Notamacropus eugenii: one gene and its partner. The protein of the gene in region 2 interacts with the protein of the main gene of each other region in a biochemical or structural test. Links are inferred from orthologs where the notes say so. Each region holds a gene or a part of one and is shown on either strand. Other genes may lie near its edges.

Region 1 (8,442 bases), on a different chromosome or scaffold from region 2:
ATGGAATCTGATAGTTTATTTGCTTCAACAAATTTAAAACAATTTTCAGTCTTCGTGTTTCAAAGTCAATTTTCATAAAACATTTATGGATTTTCTTACCTTCTGCCCCTCATCATAGAGCCTTACAACAGACAGGTATATTATGAGGCTTTCAATGTTCATATATACCTCTACAAAAGTCTTATTTATGTGCCTTATCAAGGCATGGAAATCACTCTGGGTTTGGGAGGTTATGCTAACAGAGTAGGAGCTGGATAGAATTTATGAGATACTTGTTATGCCTGTAATCAGAGGACAAGTTTAGATAACTTTGAACAAGCTTGTCTATAAGAAGATTGCCTGCCATTTGATGAATTTTGTGAGACAGAACCATCCACAAAAACTTTTTATTAATGTATTCAGGGGGTAGAAATGTGTTTTACTTCAGTGGAGAGAGAATTCTTATTGGAATCTTTAAAAGTTCTGATAAATGCTGGCAGAAATGTGGAAAAATTGGGACACTAATTGGTACAATTATGAACAGGTCCAACCAATCTGGAAAACAATTTGGAACTATGTCCAAATGAATATAAAACTGCATATCCTTTGAAACAAAAATGCCACTAGTAGGTCTGTATCCCAAAGAGATTTTTTTTAAAAAGGGAAAAGAACTTATTTGTACAAAACTATTTATAGCAGCTTTTTTTGTGGTGACAAAGAATTTGAAATTAAGGAGATGCCCATCAACTGGGAAATGGCTGACCAAGTTGTAACATATGACAGCAGTGAATACTGTTGTGCTATAAGAAATGATGAGTAGAATGATTTCAGAAAAAAAAAAAACCTAGGAAGTCCTATATGAACTGATGCAAAATGAAGTGAAAAGGTCGAAGAGAACACTGTACATGGTAAGAACAATATTTTAAGTGTGATCATATGTGAAAGACCTAGCTAGTCTGAATAAGAAAATAATCTAAGACAATTCTAAAGGGCCCATGATGGAAAATGCTACCCACATACAAAGAAAGGACTGATAAACTCTGAGTACAGATTGAAACATACTTTTTACAGTTCATTTTTGTTATATTTTCTTTTCTTTTGCAACATGGCTAATTTGGAAATGTACTTTGCATGACTTTATATGTATAATCAATATCATATTTTTTGCCTTCTCAAGGGTGAGAGAGGAGCAGAAAGGAGAGAGATAATTTGGAACTCAAATTTTAAAAACTGAAGGTTAAAATCTTTTTAAAATGTAATAAAAGTTTAACAAAATAAATGAAAGTACATTAAAATTTTAAAAATCTACAAAAAATAAAATTACTAAAGTAAATAGAACATTTAACCTTAATGACACCTAGAGGATATTAGATGTAATCTGCAGGGAAAGGCATTTGTGTTTCAACAATAACGGTTCAAAAACACAAATATGTCCCACAATAAATGAGAGTTGAATTGGTCTTCAGATGAATAGCGGGAACTTCAACCAGTAACCTTAACCTACTAACTCAGCACTGACTACTTCCCCACCCATTAACACATTAACACTGACTTTGAAGAGATAGAGAAAATAAGGGTAAGATGAAATTTAACACAAACAGTTTCAAGTAGAAGTCAAAAGGAGAGGGGAAATGGGTAGGACATTCTAGAATGGTACAACTCAAAAATGTCAATGTGCATGTATGTGTATTAAAAGAAAGCATGTATTAAAAGAAAGTATAAAATCATGGGAGAAAGGAACTTTAATAGTAATTTTGGATACTGTTGCTGTCATGACTAGAGAGAGACTGTGGAAGAGAGAAACAGAAGCCAGAATTTCTTGAAGACCTAAAGTAGTTCGCTGTCATATGCGAGAAAGACTCAAGAGAGATTTGCTGAGAGAACTGAATTTTGATGTTAAGCTTTGCTGAAGGTATCCTGAAGAGAATTCTTGACTGGCTTTACTTAGTCTGGAAAGAGAGAGAGAGTTGGGCTTTACTTCCAGAATTCAGGAAAAGTCCTCAGTTGCAGTTAATGGCTAGAGGTGAATCTGGCTATGATCTTATGGCTACTACTTTGCTGAAGTATTAAATGTCTTTCTAGTGTTTGCTGTGTTGTTAATATATTGCATAACTGATAACACTGATAATTTGTCTAAACCTAAGAGATCAGGGTTTTAGAAAGACAGAGGGGAAAGAAAGTTGTAGGGGAGAGAAGAGAAGTGCCTTCCATGCGCCAGGAGGTGTGGCAAGAGCCTTACAAAAATTATTTCATTTGATCTTCACAACAACACTATGAGGTGAGAGTGTTATTTTTATCACCATTTTGCAGTTGAGAAAAATTCTCAAGTGACTTGCCCATTGTCACACAGCTAGTAAGTATTTGAGGCTGAATTTGAACTCAGGTACTCCTAATTCCAAGCCTAGGTTTCCATCCAATATCCTACAGAGAGGCTTAAAAAAAAGGTGTTTTTTTCAGTTTACTTAATAAACTGGAGTAGACTTAGAGCTAACTGATTTATTAATGATGCTATGCATTTCAAGTAAATTTTGAGGAAGGAGGAGAACATACCCTTCTGATTGATACACTTAGAACCCAGCATGAGAATTAGGAGGGAAATGAACCAATAGTTGAAGAGAAGGATGATCATTCTATAACTATAAACCCCATGTCTATCTAATATTCAGGGTCAATTACTCTCCTGAAAAAGAGGGTAGGCAAATTTCCATAATAACATGAAAATAAGTAGTATCTGGGAAAGGCAAGGGACTTCTGCTCTTTTTACCTTTGTAAAACAAAAAAAATTCCCAGGAAAATTCCCCAAATTCCTGTTGACATATAAATCCCATCTAGATTTTTAAAAACTAAAGGAGTCTTATAAATTAGTCATTTTGTGTTGAAGTTTTCCATTTTGATTCTTAGACACTGCATCAACTTTCAGCATTTGGATTTTTTAAAAAAAAATTAATAACAATCTTGATTTATGCAAAATGAGTGCTGTTTTGTTCGAATTTATAGGTAATCTCTTTAATTCTTAATTTGGGATGACTAAATTTGGAATCTTTTCTTTTTAGTTACCAAAAGCATCAAAAGCTATTTCAAGTCCGAGGTTTATGTGTCCTGCCCTACCTAGAGAAAAACTTGGATCCCACCTACCTAGAAAACATCCCACAGGCAATCAGCTTTAGGATAATTCACCTCAGGCATCCTTTGGATAGTAGTAGCACGATTTTAGAAACTAGATTAACACTGCATGTGCGGAAATGCTTTACTCTTCCAAGGTGCGTATCATGCATCCCATAAAAGACAATAGGAAATCTAATTCAAGGTATAAACGTATGGAGCACTACTGTAAACACGTCAATAAAGCAAGCTAACTATTTTAATGCACTTACTGTTAAAACGTGCGGCACCAAGCGATTTGGGTACCTGTTTTTTAAACAAGCCTTCTTTTGATCTCCCAAAGAGCTAGCCGCCTTCCTGCTCTAGTGAGTGCGGCAACGCGAGTCAACAGAAGTTCAAAGTACAGGCATTGCACAAGGCTGAGCAGAAAGGCAGGGAAAGGGGGGATGTTTGGGGATGGATCCTGGTGGGGGGCGGGGCAGGGAGAATGGGGCTCGCACAGCCTCCTGCCCGGACCGGGAGCTTCGGTCTCTGAAGCCGGAGAGAGGTGCGGGACTAGGCAGCTCGCTCCGTTATCCGTAATTGGTTCCGACATCCCTTGAATCAGTTCCGAAGGGAGCCAAGCAGGCAGTGAGTGACCGCCACAAGCTCGCAGATGCTCGCCCGACCGACCCCTGTATCTGACCCCCACCAGGAGGATGGGGTGAGGGAGGCAGGGCTAGGGGAAGACCCGGGAGAAACAGCGCTGAGGCTGGGCAGAGGGGTCCGGGCTGGGGCTGGGTACTCACAGCTTACTGCCCCGGAGATCTGGATCACGAACGCGAGGCTCAGAACCAAAGCCACGCAGCGCCCTCCCGGGATCCTCATGGCGAGAAGGCCCCTCCGCAGCTCGCGTGACGGGGTGCCCTGCGTGTCTGCGCCCTGGCCGCCTGCGCTGCCTCCGCTCCGGCTCCAGCTTCTTCTCTATTTACTTTGTCCCCGAGCCGAGCCAGAGGGAGGGAGGGAAGAGCTGCCAGCTGGGTCCCCCAGCCCCTGCTGGGGAAAGCGATAACAGCGGGCCGGGCTCCAGCCCAGAAACAGGACATTTTCCGGGAAGCTTTTCAGTCTGTGGGGGTGGATGTGCGTGGGGCCAGGGAGTGCAGTAAACAGAGCCCTGCTCTCTCTGCTGCCCCTGAAAGCAGTCTGTCCTCATACAGATCTGAAGTTTGGTTACGTGAAGGGAGGGCGGCAAAGGGAAGCTTTTAGCAAGGAAACAGAGCACTGAAAACATTCCAGCAGGAAAACTTTGCCAAGGCTCCTGAGTCTGGGCATGTCACAGCCTGTGGCGGTAAAGGCGTTCATGGAAACAGAATAGGTAGCCCTGGGGGCACTGTTGTATTCATCCAGTTACTTCGTCCTTTCTGCGGACTTTGACATTGAACCTAGGAACAGGTCAGTCAGCATTTTGCACAAAACATCCCCTTTTAGGTGTGCTTGTTTGTGGACTTCGTTATTGGCAAAGAAACGGAAATTTCTGATTCATTGGCATTGTAGGTGGCATAGGGCAGTATTAAAAGACGAAAACTTTCATCCCAAAGGAGGGTTTTAAGCTACTGAATTACTGCTTCAGTTCCTACGGACAATGTAGTAGAACATTTAGGCAAGAAAAAAGAAGGAAAGGAACAGATACGGAAATGATCAACATTATCAGTATATAGAAAAGGAGGAGACAAAATAAAATCATCAGTTTTGCTAAATTGTTGAAAACACACGAAAGTATAGGCAAAGACCTACACTACAAAAATCCCAACTTCCTCAGAATACTATTCTTATTAGCCTATCAGGAATCTATATACCTCCTGCTCAAAGTTCCCACTACTGTAATTAATCTTGTGTGTAATAGCATTTATACATATATGTGTATATATGTGTGTATATATATACACACATATATTTTTAAAGTTAATATATTTACTTATTTTGCAGAATTGTTAAAACAGGATGCTGATTATTAAAAAAAATTGGTGATGCTATTGTAATCAATCTCAGTAAGATCCTGTTGGCTTTTAAATTCTGTGACTCGACTGCCTATACTATTTTTGTTTTATAAAATTAAGTGTTTAATTTAAAACAATTTTTTCCTCTTCTTCCTACCTATTCCATCACCCATACATTAAAGAAAATTGTGATGATAAATATCATCACAAAAATATCATCCATTTTCTAGAACCACAAATGATGATTTTGCTGATCAAAAATCTGAAGTCTTTCAAAATTGTTCATTTTTACAATGTTAGAGTATAAATTGTTTTTCTGGTTCTGCTCATTTTCTTCTATATTCATACAAGCCTTCCCAGATTTCTCTGAAACCATCTATTTCATAATTTTTTATAACATAATGAGATTTTATTCCTTTCAGATTTCATTGCTTCTTCATCTATTCTCCAAATGATGGCCATACCTCCAGTTTCTAGTTCTTTCCTACCACAAAAAGAGAAGCTATAAAATATTTTTTTCACATAGATCCTGTTCCCTTTCCAACCTTGTTAATAGACTGACTTACCATTACTCCTGAGTACAATGCTTGAAAACTGTGATGAATATCCTTTGACATGGAACTGTGATGAAAGATTTTTTTCCTTCCAACTTCCTAGTCAATGAAAGTAATAGAATTAGGAAGGGACAGAACATTCATGTTTTAATACAGCAGTTGGGATTAATGTCAAAATTGTAGGTATTTCGTACTTTCCAAAAGAGTTGGGAATTTTAGTCAATTAAAAACTCAGCAGTGTGTGTGGCAGCCACAGAAAACTAATGGCACATTAGACAGAAATAGACTGTTTTTAATGAAGGAGATTATGAGTCTACCATACCTTGCCCTGGTTAGACTACATCTGTTTGCTGTTGAAGGGAGTGAAGTCTTCACGCAAAGCCTGGTTGATTCACTAAATGAGAGAATATGAGAGTTAAAAGGCATCTTAGCCCCATTAGTCCAATGCATTCTGAAAATAAATCCCCACTACCAGGTATCTGACAAGTGGCCACTTCTGAACGCTACTCATTTATTTTTTTTCAGTGTTGATTTTGTTTTTAATTTTCCACAATCACTTCAATAAGTTTTAAATTTTCTCTCCCTCCCTCCACATTCCCTCCCCAAGATGGTAGCAATCTTATGTGGGCTCTGCACATACATTCTCATTAAACACATTTTCACATTAGTCATGTTACACAGAAGAATTAAAATGAAAGGGAGAAAGCATGAATAAAACTAAACAAAACCAAATATAACAGCAGAGAAAATAGTCTGCTTCATTCTGTTTCAACTCCACAGTTCTTTCTCTGGATGTGGATGGCACTTTGCATCATGAGTCCCCTAGAAATGTTTTAGGTCCCTGCATTGCTGTGAAGAAGAATCAGATTTAGAATCGGATTCTATCAGGTTCATCAAAAACAGTCCTCGCACACTGTGGCTGTTACTGTGTAGAATGTTCTCCTGGTTCTGCTCACTTCATTCAGCATCAGTTCTTATAAGTCTCTCCAGGTATTTCTGAAGTTCGCCTCTTCATTCTTTCTAGCACAATAGTATTACATTACATTCATATACCACAACTTGCTTAGCCATTCCCCAATTGATGGGCATTTCCCCAATTTCCAGTTCTTGACCATCAGAAAAAGAGCTGCTAAAAATGTTTTTGTACATGTGGGTCCTTTTCCCATTTTTATGAAGAAGAGCTATTGCAGGATTAAAGGGTATGCACATTTTTATAGTCCTTTGGGCATAGTTCCATATTGTTCATAACTCCAGCAATGATGAATTAATGTTCTAACTCTCCCACATCTTCTCCAACATTTAGCATTTTCCTGTTTTGTTATGTTAGCCAATCTGATGGTGTGATGTGGTACCTCAGAGTTGTTTTGATTTACATCTCTAATCAATAGTGATTTATATGACTATAGATAGTTTTAATTTCCTCCTCTGAAAATTGCCTGTTCATATCCTTTGACCATTTATCAATTGGGAAATGACTTGGATACTTGTAAATTTGACTCAGTGATCTCTATATTTTAGAAATGAGGCCTTTATCATAGACACTAGTTGTAAAAATTCTTTCCCAGGTTTCTGCTTCCCTCTTAATCTTGCTTTGGGTTTGTTTGTGCAAAAACTTTTCAATATAATGTAATCAAGATTATCCATTTTGCGTTTCATAATGTATCTCTTGTTGGGTCATAAAGTTCTCCATTCTCCATAAATCTGACAAATAAATGATTCCTTGCTCCCCCAATTTATTTATAGAATCAGCCTTCATACCTAGATTGTGTGCCTCATTTGGCCTTTATTCTGGTATACCATATCAGGCATTGGTCACACCCAGTTTCTGTCACACTATTTTCCAGTTTTCCCAGCAGTTTTTGTCAAATAGTGAGTTCTTATCCCAGAAGCTGGAGTCCCCAGGTTTACCCCTAGGGGAAAATAGAAATGGAAAGAATTCACTGATCACCTCCTGAAAGATTCCCCAAAAGGAAAACTCCTAGGAATATTGTAGCCAAATTCCAGAGTTCCCAAAGAGAAAATATTACAAGCAGCCAGAAAGAAACAATTCAAGTATTGTGGAAATACAGTCAGGATAAAACAGGGTTTAGCAGCTTCTACACCAAGGAATTGAAGGGCTTAGAATATGATATTCCAGAGGTCAGAGTAGATACGATTAAAACCAAGAATCACATACTCAGGAAAACTGAGGATAACGCTTCAGGGAAAAAATGGAATTTCAATGAAACAGAACTTTCAAGCATTCTTCATGAGAAGACTAGAATAGTCTGAATGGAAAAAGCTGAATAGAAAATTTGACTTTCAAATACAAGAATCAAGAGAAACATAAAAATGTAAACAGGAAAGAGAAGTCATAAAAGACTCATTAAAGTTAAACTGCTTACATTCCTACATGGAAAGATGATATTGTAACTCATAAGACCTTTTCCAGTGTTAAGGTAGTTAGAGGGAACATATATATATGTGCATGTGTGTGTGTGTGTGTGTGTGTGTGTGTATGCTGCACACACACATATATGTAGGTGTATATAAGTGTTTATGTATGTGTATATTATATATGTGTAGGTATATTTGTATATATGGATGTATTTGTATATATATGTATGTGGGTATATATGTATATATATATATATGTATATATAGACAGAGGGCACAGGGTGAGCTGAATATGAAGGGAGAATACCTAAAAAATAAAATTTACTGTTGAGTGGAATGTACTAGGAGCAAGAGAAAGTGAGAGATAAAATGTAGCGAATCATCTCACATAAAAGAGGCAAGAAAGAGCTTTCACAAAGGAAGGGAAGAGGGGAGAGGTGAAAAAGAGTAAGAAA
Region 2 (8,442 bases):
GAGATATAGTAAGTTCTTACCCCAAAGCATTGCCACAAAGGGGAAGTTGGAATCAGTTAGGAGAGTTCAAGACCTATCAGGAAGGTTATTTTAACAGCTCTGTGAAAGATGTTTTGGAGAAGGGAAAGACTAAAAACTGGGAGAGGAATTAGAATGGTGTTCCAATAGTCTAGACAAAAGGTAAGGAAATAGGGCATAGAGATAAGGGGAAGGATTCAGAATGAACAAGACTTGTCAAAAATTTGGATGTGGAGTGTGAGGAAGAATGGAATAGTAGAGGATGATTCCAGATTGCAAAACTAGCAGCTAAAAAGATGGTAGTATCTGCAGCAGAGACAAGGAAGTTGAGAGAAGAGTGAAGGTTGGGAAGGAAACTTAGGGAGCTCCACTGTAGACATGTTGAATTTTAAATTATTATTGGACATGTAAGTAGAAATGCCCAGCAAGCAGTTAGCAATGAAGGACTGGTGTTCAGGAAAGAGAATAAAGGTGGATGTATTGATTCATGAGTCATATTTGTAGATAATTAAGCCTATAGGAGGGGCAGCTAGGTGGCTCATTGGAATAGAGCACCATCCCAAGAGGACCTGAGTTCAAATATAGCTTCAGACGCTTACTATCTGTGTGATCCTGAGCAAGTCACTTAACCCTTTTCCCCTCAGTTCCTCATCTCTAAAATGAGCTGGAAAAGGAAATGGCAAACCAATCCGATATCTTTGTCAAGAAAACCCCAAATGGAGTCATGGAGAGTCGGACACGACTGAAACAATTCAACAATGATAAATGCATAGAACTTGATGATATCACTGAATTGTTTGTTGTTCAGTCTTGTCTGACTTTTGTGACCTCTGTAGAGAGTTTTCTTGACAGAGATGTTACAGTGCTTTGCTATTTCCTTCTTCAGTGCAAACAGATGCTAAGTGACTTGTGCAGGGTTACACAACTAGTGAGTATCTAAGGCTGGATTTGAACTCCAGTCTTCCTGACTTCATGGCCGGTGCTCTATCCATTGTGCCACCTAGCTGCTGAGATCACCAAGATGCAAAAAAGAGAGAAGATAATCTTAGAGGAAATACCTACAATTAGGAAGCAAGAGATGGTTCCTGTTCATGCAAAGGACACTGAGGAATGGTCATACAATGAGTAGAGGACCCAGGAGACAATAGTATCTTGAAAGGCCAAAAGATAAGAATGTTAGGAAGAGGAAGAATCAACAATAACAGAATGTATAGGGAGGTCAAGAAGGTTCAGGACTTAGACAAGGCCATGGGTCTGGCTATTCTAAATATGTTGATAACCTTGGTAAAAGTAGTTTCAGTGAGAATGGTGTAGAGTTAAACTGGTCAACGTTGGGGTCAAGACCTGGGAAGGAAGGGACATGGGGCCAAAGAAGGGGAAACTGATTGGAAGGAAAAGTAGGGGTGGAAGAATTGGAGAGCTAGGTGAGAATTGAGGATTAGATTTAGGAGGAATGAAGCAGAGGATAAGAGACCATGATGGAAGGAAAGAATTTCAGAGTTTGTTATCATGGAGGTAGCATAATTATGGATGACAGTGATATTTAGGGTATTATCATCCTTAAGAGTGACAAAATTGGAGTGAAGATATAGATTGTGAGTGTTCAGGAGGATTAATAAATGGAAAAGCCATGTGTCCTGGCATTAAAGGAATATCCATCTGTGTACCGGAGTCCTCAAGTATGAGGGCAGAGGCTAGGAGGCAGAAGAAGTCTATGAGCCAGATTCTAAGTTGCTGAAGAGGGGAAAATAATGTAAAGGCCTATAGACTATATCTACAGCCAGTATCTGGACAGGGTGTCCTAGATGGATAGAGGGAATCTCAAAAGAGAAAAGTTTGCTGAGCAGTGGTAGCAGAAGGAGGTCCTAAAAGAGAGAAGAATAAAGATTGTATCTGTTACACCTCTGGGCTCTGTGTGCAAGAGATGAGAGGGAGCCTTGAGTGATAGAAAGAATGGTCAGGGGTACATGCCTCCTAGGGACTTCTGTGAGTGCCGAAAGATAGAAAGGATCCGCAGAATCACATGTATATTAGGCAACAGAACCAGGATTCCCACATGGGCCACCGACTCCAAATTCAGAGCTCTTTTCTCTGTGGCCAACACTGATTCCACTCTGGATTGTTAACAATGATGAATTTCATGGGATAAATGGTATGACAGAAGGTCTTTTTGTAATGAGATTTTTGTAAAATATTAAGGAGAAAGAGAGGGGAGCTTCCAGCACATTGGATAAATACTCAAGAGAAATTGTATGGGAATACAAAAAAGGTACTGGCCCTGGTAAAGAGACATGGGTTCATGTTCCAGTTACTTATTACCTGAATGACCATAAGCACACAAATCAGTTAACCTAAGTTCCTGACCTATAAAATGGGGATACTGATATTTACATCTCTTCCCTCACAGGGTTCTTGTGAAGAAAACATTTTTGATCCTCAAAGAGCTACATAAATTTGAGCCAACTTCTGTGGAAGAAATACAGTCACAAAGAATTGCATGAGATGAGAAGGCATAAGTGAATTGTGATCTGCACCCAGAAAAAGAAGCACCATGCTGATGAAATAACAGATCCTTGAAGTAGTTGTTTACACATCAAGAAACTGAGTCACAGAGAGGTTGAATTGCCCAAGATGAATAAATAAATGAAACTGGGATTGAAACTTTGAACTCTCTATTCCTAACCTCAAGCTCTTTACAAAACATGATGTGATAGTGAACATGTCATAGTTTGAAGCATGTGAGAAATTTTCCTTCAGTTCAGGATGATCCCAGAAAGAGAAGGACCAGGGAAAGAGTTGGATCTTTGTATGAGCTCCAGCTAGAGAGTCACGAAAAGAGTGAACTTTGACACTGGCAAGTTTGGGGCATGAGGGAAGGGGGGGAAAGGGGCAGGTTTTATTAGCTTAAGTGGTGCTGTGGGATTGGGAGGCTAAGGAATACAGTCCTCTCACTGGCTCAAGAATTGCTGGCCATTTCCCTGCCTGGAGACTGGGCTCTCTGGCCCTTTTTCTCACTGTTTCCTGCATTAAGAAGAGACAGGGAGACTAGCTGCTACCCTTCACACCTGACTGTTCCACTGGGCTGTGAGCCAGCCAACCACCTGTCCTGTGGAGGCAGCCTCCCTCAATGCCTGTAAGCCCCAAAGAAGGGGGAGGGAATTTCAGTGGCTGCTGTGACTTCTGACAGAACCTTCAAAGGAAAGACATTACTAGCCACAGCCTCCCAGAGCTCACTGTAGCACAAACTATACTCCTCCCCCGAAGTCACCTACCCCAGCGGCTCCTGGGGCTGCTGTTAGCAGGAGTGGAAACCATGTCTCCAGGCCACCCAAGCCTCTGGGTCCTTGTGGTCCTGGGGATTGGGTGGCTGGACTTGGGGCAGCATGTAGCTGAAGCAGCTGTCCGACATCGCTATATAGCTGCTCAGATCATCAACTGGACCTACCGCCCTCCGACCAGCAACCCAAGGTAATTCAAGACTGGGGAAACTGGGGGAGTAGGGTCAGAAGAGAAAATAACAGGAAGTTTGCCTCACTATCTCTCTGGAAAATAGACTCTTTCCTTAAGACAGCTCACACTAGACCTGGATATTCCCTCTTTTAAACTGTAATTGATGGGATATGATGCAACATTCTGGTCATAATGCAATATCACTCCTCTATTTGTACATTTTATTATTTGGGGAGCACTTAATTATTAAGTTTAATGAGCTGGGATCTTTGTATTTTCAGCAAATATCATTTTATTCATAAATTCAATTTCTGACTTAATATGGGAAAAGCACAAAATATTGAGCACAAACTATTATAATTAATCGTATTGTCAACATCCTTCTTTGAATTGTCAAAGTAAAATTATTCCTGCCTGCTTGACTGCTTCTAAAAATTATTTGTTCTTTATGTGCATTATTATTCATAGATCTCAGGAGATAATGTAATGTAGTAGAAAAAGAACACTGCCTTAGGAATTGGAGGATTTGGGTTCAAATCCTGTCTGACAATTACTACCTGCGCAAACTTGGACAGTCATACCCTCTCTGAACCTCATTCACTTTATCTTTAAAATGAGAAAGTTGAATTAGATAACCTTTAAGGATCATCCCTCCTATCCTGAACCCTATGATTTTATTACCTTCGTGTTCTAAAAAGTCCAGATGCAGACTTTAAGATGCAAATCCAAATTGTTTGTAATCATTATTTGATTTCTGGCTTATGAATGGTACCTCCCCCTAAAGAATTACTGTGAGAAAAAGCAATAAATCTATTATTTTATGTTTCTTTAAATTTGCTTCATCAAAGCTACCTGGTATATTTCTTCTTCCTTTGTGATGATCTTTAGCTTCTACATGCCTATGAGAGAGAACTGTCCCATTTACACCAAATCTTGATTAAAATGAAATGCCTTTGAATTTAATCTGAGGATAATGTTTGCTTTTCAAACTGGTCTCACAACTTAGAGACTTTCAAAGGTGAAATGGAACTTCTCTGGAATAGTCTGGGATCAACAAGCAAACCTATAGTAGGTACAGAGTCCAATGAACTGTGCTTCTTTATTTTAAAATTGGGTTGATGGGAATGTTATGCTTATTTCAACCTGAAACGACAACTTGGGTGATTGGGAAAGACATGTTCCTCTTTCAGAGTTGCAAAATCAAGAGTTATCTGCCAAGATATGTCAAAATTTTCTGAGAGCCCTTTGGATTACAAAATTACTTGTTTGCTGTTTGAATGACTAAAATTTGCCACTTAAAAATTTTGGTTGTATTAAATCAATGTTGATGGGATTGAATTGAAGTGAAAGGTGATCATCTACTTTTATACTAATACATTTGAGGTCCTGTTATTAATAGAAGATTCAAAGAAAACAATCATGCTTTCCTGCTTATCTAGAGCAAACTAATTTGGTTGTTGATTTGTCTAGTTTATACTGGATTCAAGCCTACTTAATAACCAAAATGCCATGAAAATTCTTTGCAGAGACCAACTCCATTTCTGATATAACATGATTAGCATGTGAGGGAACTGTGAGTTCTATCCTCCAACCCTGGTATCCTAAAGGGTTTCCACCATAATCCTAGGAAGAGTTATCTCCCAAGCATCAATTCTTGGGGTCCTGTAAAACCTATGGCTAGAATGAGGAAAGCCCCAAGATGATCCAGCCACTGAGGTTCCTTTGTTGGAAAGTACTTACTGGAAAACCTATTTCATTAAATTGAGAAAACACCTTAAATATCCTCCCATTATAGCCAAAAGATAGTTGGAGAAACTATATGTGGCTTTCCAAGAAACTAGATAATTTTGGAGAGGGAATTGGCAAAACACTCCAGTATCTTTACCAAGAAAATCCCAAACGGGGTCACAAAGAGTAGGTTGTGAAAGAAACCATGGAACAAGATATTTTTAGAGAGAAATCATAATAGTGTTAACTTTTCCCCCAAAGTTAAGTTCAAGAGAATGAACATATTAGAGACTTTTCTTTCATTGTACATTAACAGGACCCAAACAGCCTTTAGGAACAAAATATTGTGTATTTACCATTTGTCCTGAGGTAATTTTAAAAAATGAAAATAAAACTTATTCAATTACTTCAGAAACTACATAATTTAAGAGTTGGATGGGACCTTAGTCCAAGTAGTTAAATCATACCTGAAAATTAACGCCCCACCCCCAACATGCTCAACAATTAGTCATCCAATTTTGTTTGAAGACCTCCTCCTTTGGAATAACTCTAATTGTTAAGCTTTCCTGATGTGCAAGCTGATTTCCACCTACTTCTAGACATGCCTTCTGGGGTCAGGCTGACCCAGTATAATCACTCTTCCCTAGGAGAGCCTTTCAAGTACTATACTTGAAAACAACTATCAAGTCTCTCCATAAATTTTCTTTTCTGGCTAAACACACTTAGTCCTTTTAAAAGAACCTCCTATGAATGATCTGAAGGCCCTTTACCATTCTGGTTGTATTTTATATCACATTTTTGTGCTTTGGGATCTCCCCTAGTTCCCTGTCTCTAATTCTGTATCTTGTTGAATGCTGATCAACCAACATCTTTTATGTAGCACCCCACCCCTTCCCTTCCACCCTATTCATTCCTTGGGAGGCAAGAACTATGTCATTTTTATCTTTGCATCTCCAGAACCCAGAACACTTCCTGGAACATTATAGGAACAAATGTTTGCTGAATTGAAAAAAAAGTGAAATGAAAAAAATTAAGAAAAAATATCCTTCCTACAAGTTAATGCAAAAGAGATCTTGAATAATAAAGATCTGTCCATAGAACAACTTTTAAACGAGACTTTTGTATTTCATGCTTAGTTTGAAGCCCTCAGAGCCTACCTTTAAGAAAATGGTCTACAGAGAATATGAAGCAGGTTTTACACAAGAAAAACCAAGGTCAAACATTTCAGGTAAGTTTCTAATAAAAAACAAGTTATAAAGCTAAACATCAATGAGAAGGTTAAACTGATAGACAACTTTTGTGCCCCTGGACATAATAAATAGACCATCCCACCATGACAGATTTACAGGAGAATATGGACATGATTTACAATGGTGGGATGGATGGCAATCAGCATGAGAGGAGGGGGTACTTTCATTGCTGAGATGACAGATCCATCAAATCCCCAAGCAATCAGCAAATAATTTGGGTTTCAGATTCTCTAAATTTGTCCAGAATAGAATCTATTTGTACTAATGGAGACCTAGCTGGAGCTAGCTTATACAGTACTTTAAGGTTTAGCAAAGCATTTTACATGTTATCTCATTTGATCCTCTCAACAACCCTGTGAGGTTGGTGTTTTTATTATCCCCATTTTGTAGATGAAGAGACTGTGCCACCTGGCTGGCTGAGCACTCAGTTTCTCTCAAACTGGTAGGTACTTATGCTCCTTTATCTCAACTGAAGGGCAACTAGGTGGCCCAGTGAAGAGCGTGTTGGGTTGAAGTCAGGAAGACTTTTATCTTCTTAAGTTCAAATCCAGCTTCAGACAGATACTAGCTGTGTGACCCCGAGCAAGTCACTTAACTCTGTTTGCCTCAGTTTCCTCATCTGTAAAATGAGCTAGAGAAGGAAATGGCAAACTACTCCACTGTCTGCCAAGAAAACCCCAAATGGGGTCACAAAGAGTCAGACATGACTTAAAAATGACTGAACAACAAGAACAACTTCCCTTCCGAAGTTAACATTCAGTGATTCTAAACAGGAGAATATTAATAATGATATAACCAGGGCTAAGTGAGTTGAAGAGGTATCCTAGGAAACTGTTACCCCCATCAAGAAGAACAGTTTTACTTGTTCCTGTTTTGTTTTCCTTTTCTAATTTTCTCTTTTCTTTCTTTTCTATGTCTTCCACCCTCCACTCTAGCCTGTTGGAACCAGCTCCAAATCACTTGGGAGAGCTGACTCTTAAATTTTCAGTGTGAGCATTTACATCTCAGAAACAGGCAAATAGGACAAATCAGAGTTTAATTTATTGTTTTGTTGATTAGCTAGACTTAAGAAGGTCAGTCAATAAACATTTAAGTACCTACTATGTGCCAAGCACTGTTCTAAGCACTGGATACAAAGAAAGGCAAAAGGAACTCAAAGTCTAATGGGGGAGACAAATGCAAACAACTCTATACAAACAAGCTATAAACAGAACAAATTGGCAATAATCAACAGAGGGAAAACACAAGAATTAAGGGGGATTGGGAAAGGCTTCCTGTGGAAGGAGGGATTTGAGTTGGAATTGTAGGAAGCCAGGGAAGCCAGTAGTTGAAGATGAGGAGAAAGGGCATTCTAGGCATAACAGAGAGTCTGTGAAAATGTCTGGAGTCAAGAAATGGAGTATCTTTTTTGAGAAATAGCAAGGAGACTAATGTCACTGGACTGAAGAGTACTTGGTGGAGGACATGGTGTAATGGGGTGTGGAACCTTCGGTGTCAAGGCTACATGTGGCCCTCTAGGTCCTCAAGGGTGGCCCTTTGGCTGAATCCAAATCCCCTTAATAAAAGGATTTGTTCTGTAAAACTTGGACTCAGTCAAAAGGTCATACCCAAGAACCTAGAAGAATACATGTGGCCTCGAGGCCACAGATTCCTCACCCCTGGACTAAGAAGACTAGAAAAGTGGGAATGGACTGGGTTGGGCAAAAATGCCAGAGAACTTCATATTTGTTCATGGAGGTGATAGGCAGTCATAGAAGTTTATTAAGTGGGGAGTGGGATAGGATGGTATGACCTGAACTTTAGGAAGTTTAGTGACAATTTAGTGACTGAGAGGATAGACTAGAGTGAGGAGAAACTTGTGTTAGACAGACCATCCAACAGACTATTTTAATAGTTCATAAGATGTGTGAGTGTATGTGTGTGAGTGTGTGTGTATGTGTGTGTGTGTGTGTGTGTATGTGCGTGTGTGTTGGAGTGGGGGACTGTATCAGAGAAG

Evidence for each region. The genes of interacting proteins can lie anywhere in the genome.
Region 1: the proteins of F5 (region 2) and PROS1 form a complex in vitro, tested with the Homo sapiens proteins (2 studies listed by BioGRID). The link is inferred for Notamacropus eugenii from reciprocal best matches to the Homo sapiens genes F5 and PROS1.

What each region holds. Positions count from the first base shown.
Region 1 is NC_092877.1:194,197,524-194,205,965, forward strand, and holds the start of PROS1 (vitamin K-dependent protein S), read right to left. Parts: upstream 4,260-8,442; 5' UTR 3,949-4,259; coding exon 3,870-3,948; intron 1-3,869. UniProt on the Homo sapiens protein: Anticoagulant plasma protein; it is a cofactor to activated protein C in the degradation of coagulation factors Va and VIIIa. It helps to prevent coagulation and stimulating fibrinolysis.
Region 2 is NC_092873.1:476,828,138-476,836,579, forward strand, and holds the start of F5 (coagulation factor V), read left to right. Parts: upstream 1-2,972; 5' UTR 2,973-3,331; coding exon 3,332-3,486; intron 3,487-6,332; coding exon 6,333-6,424; intron 6,425-8,442. UniProt on the Homo sapiens protein: Central regulator of hemostasis. It serves as a critical cofactor for the prothrombinase activity of factor Xa that results in the activation of prothrombin to thrombin.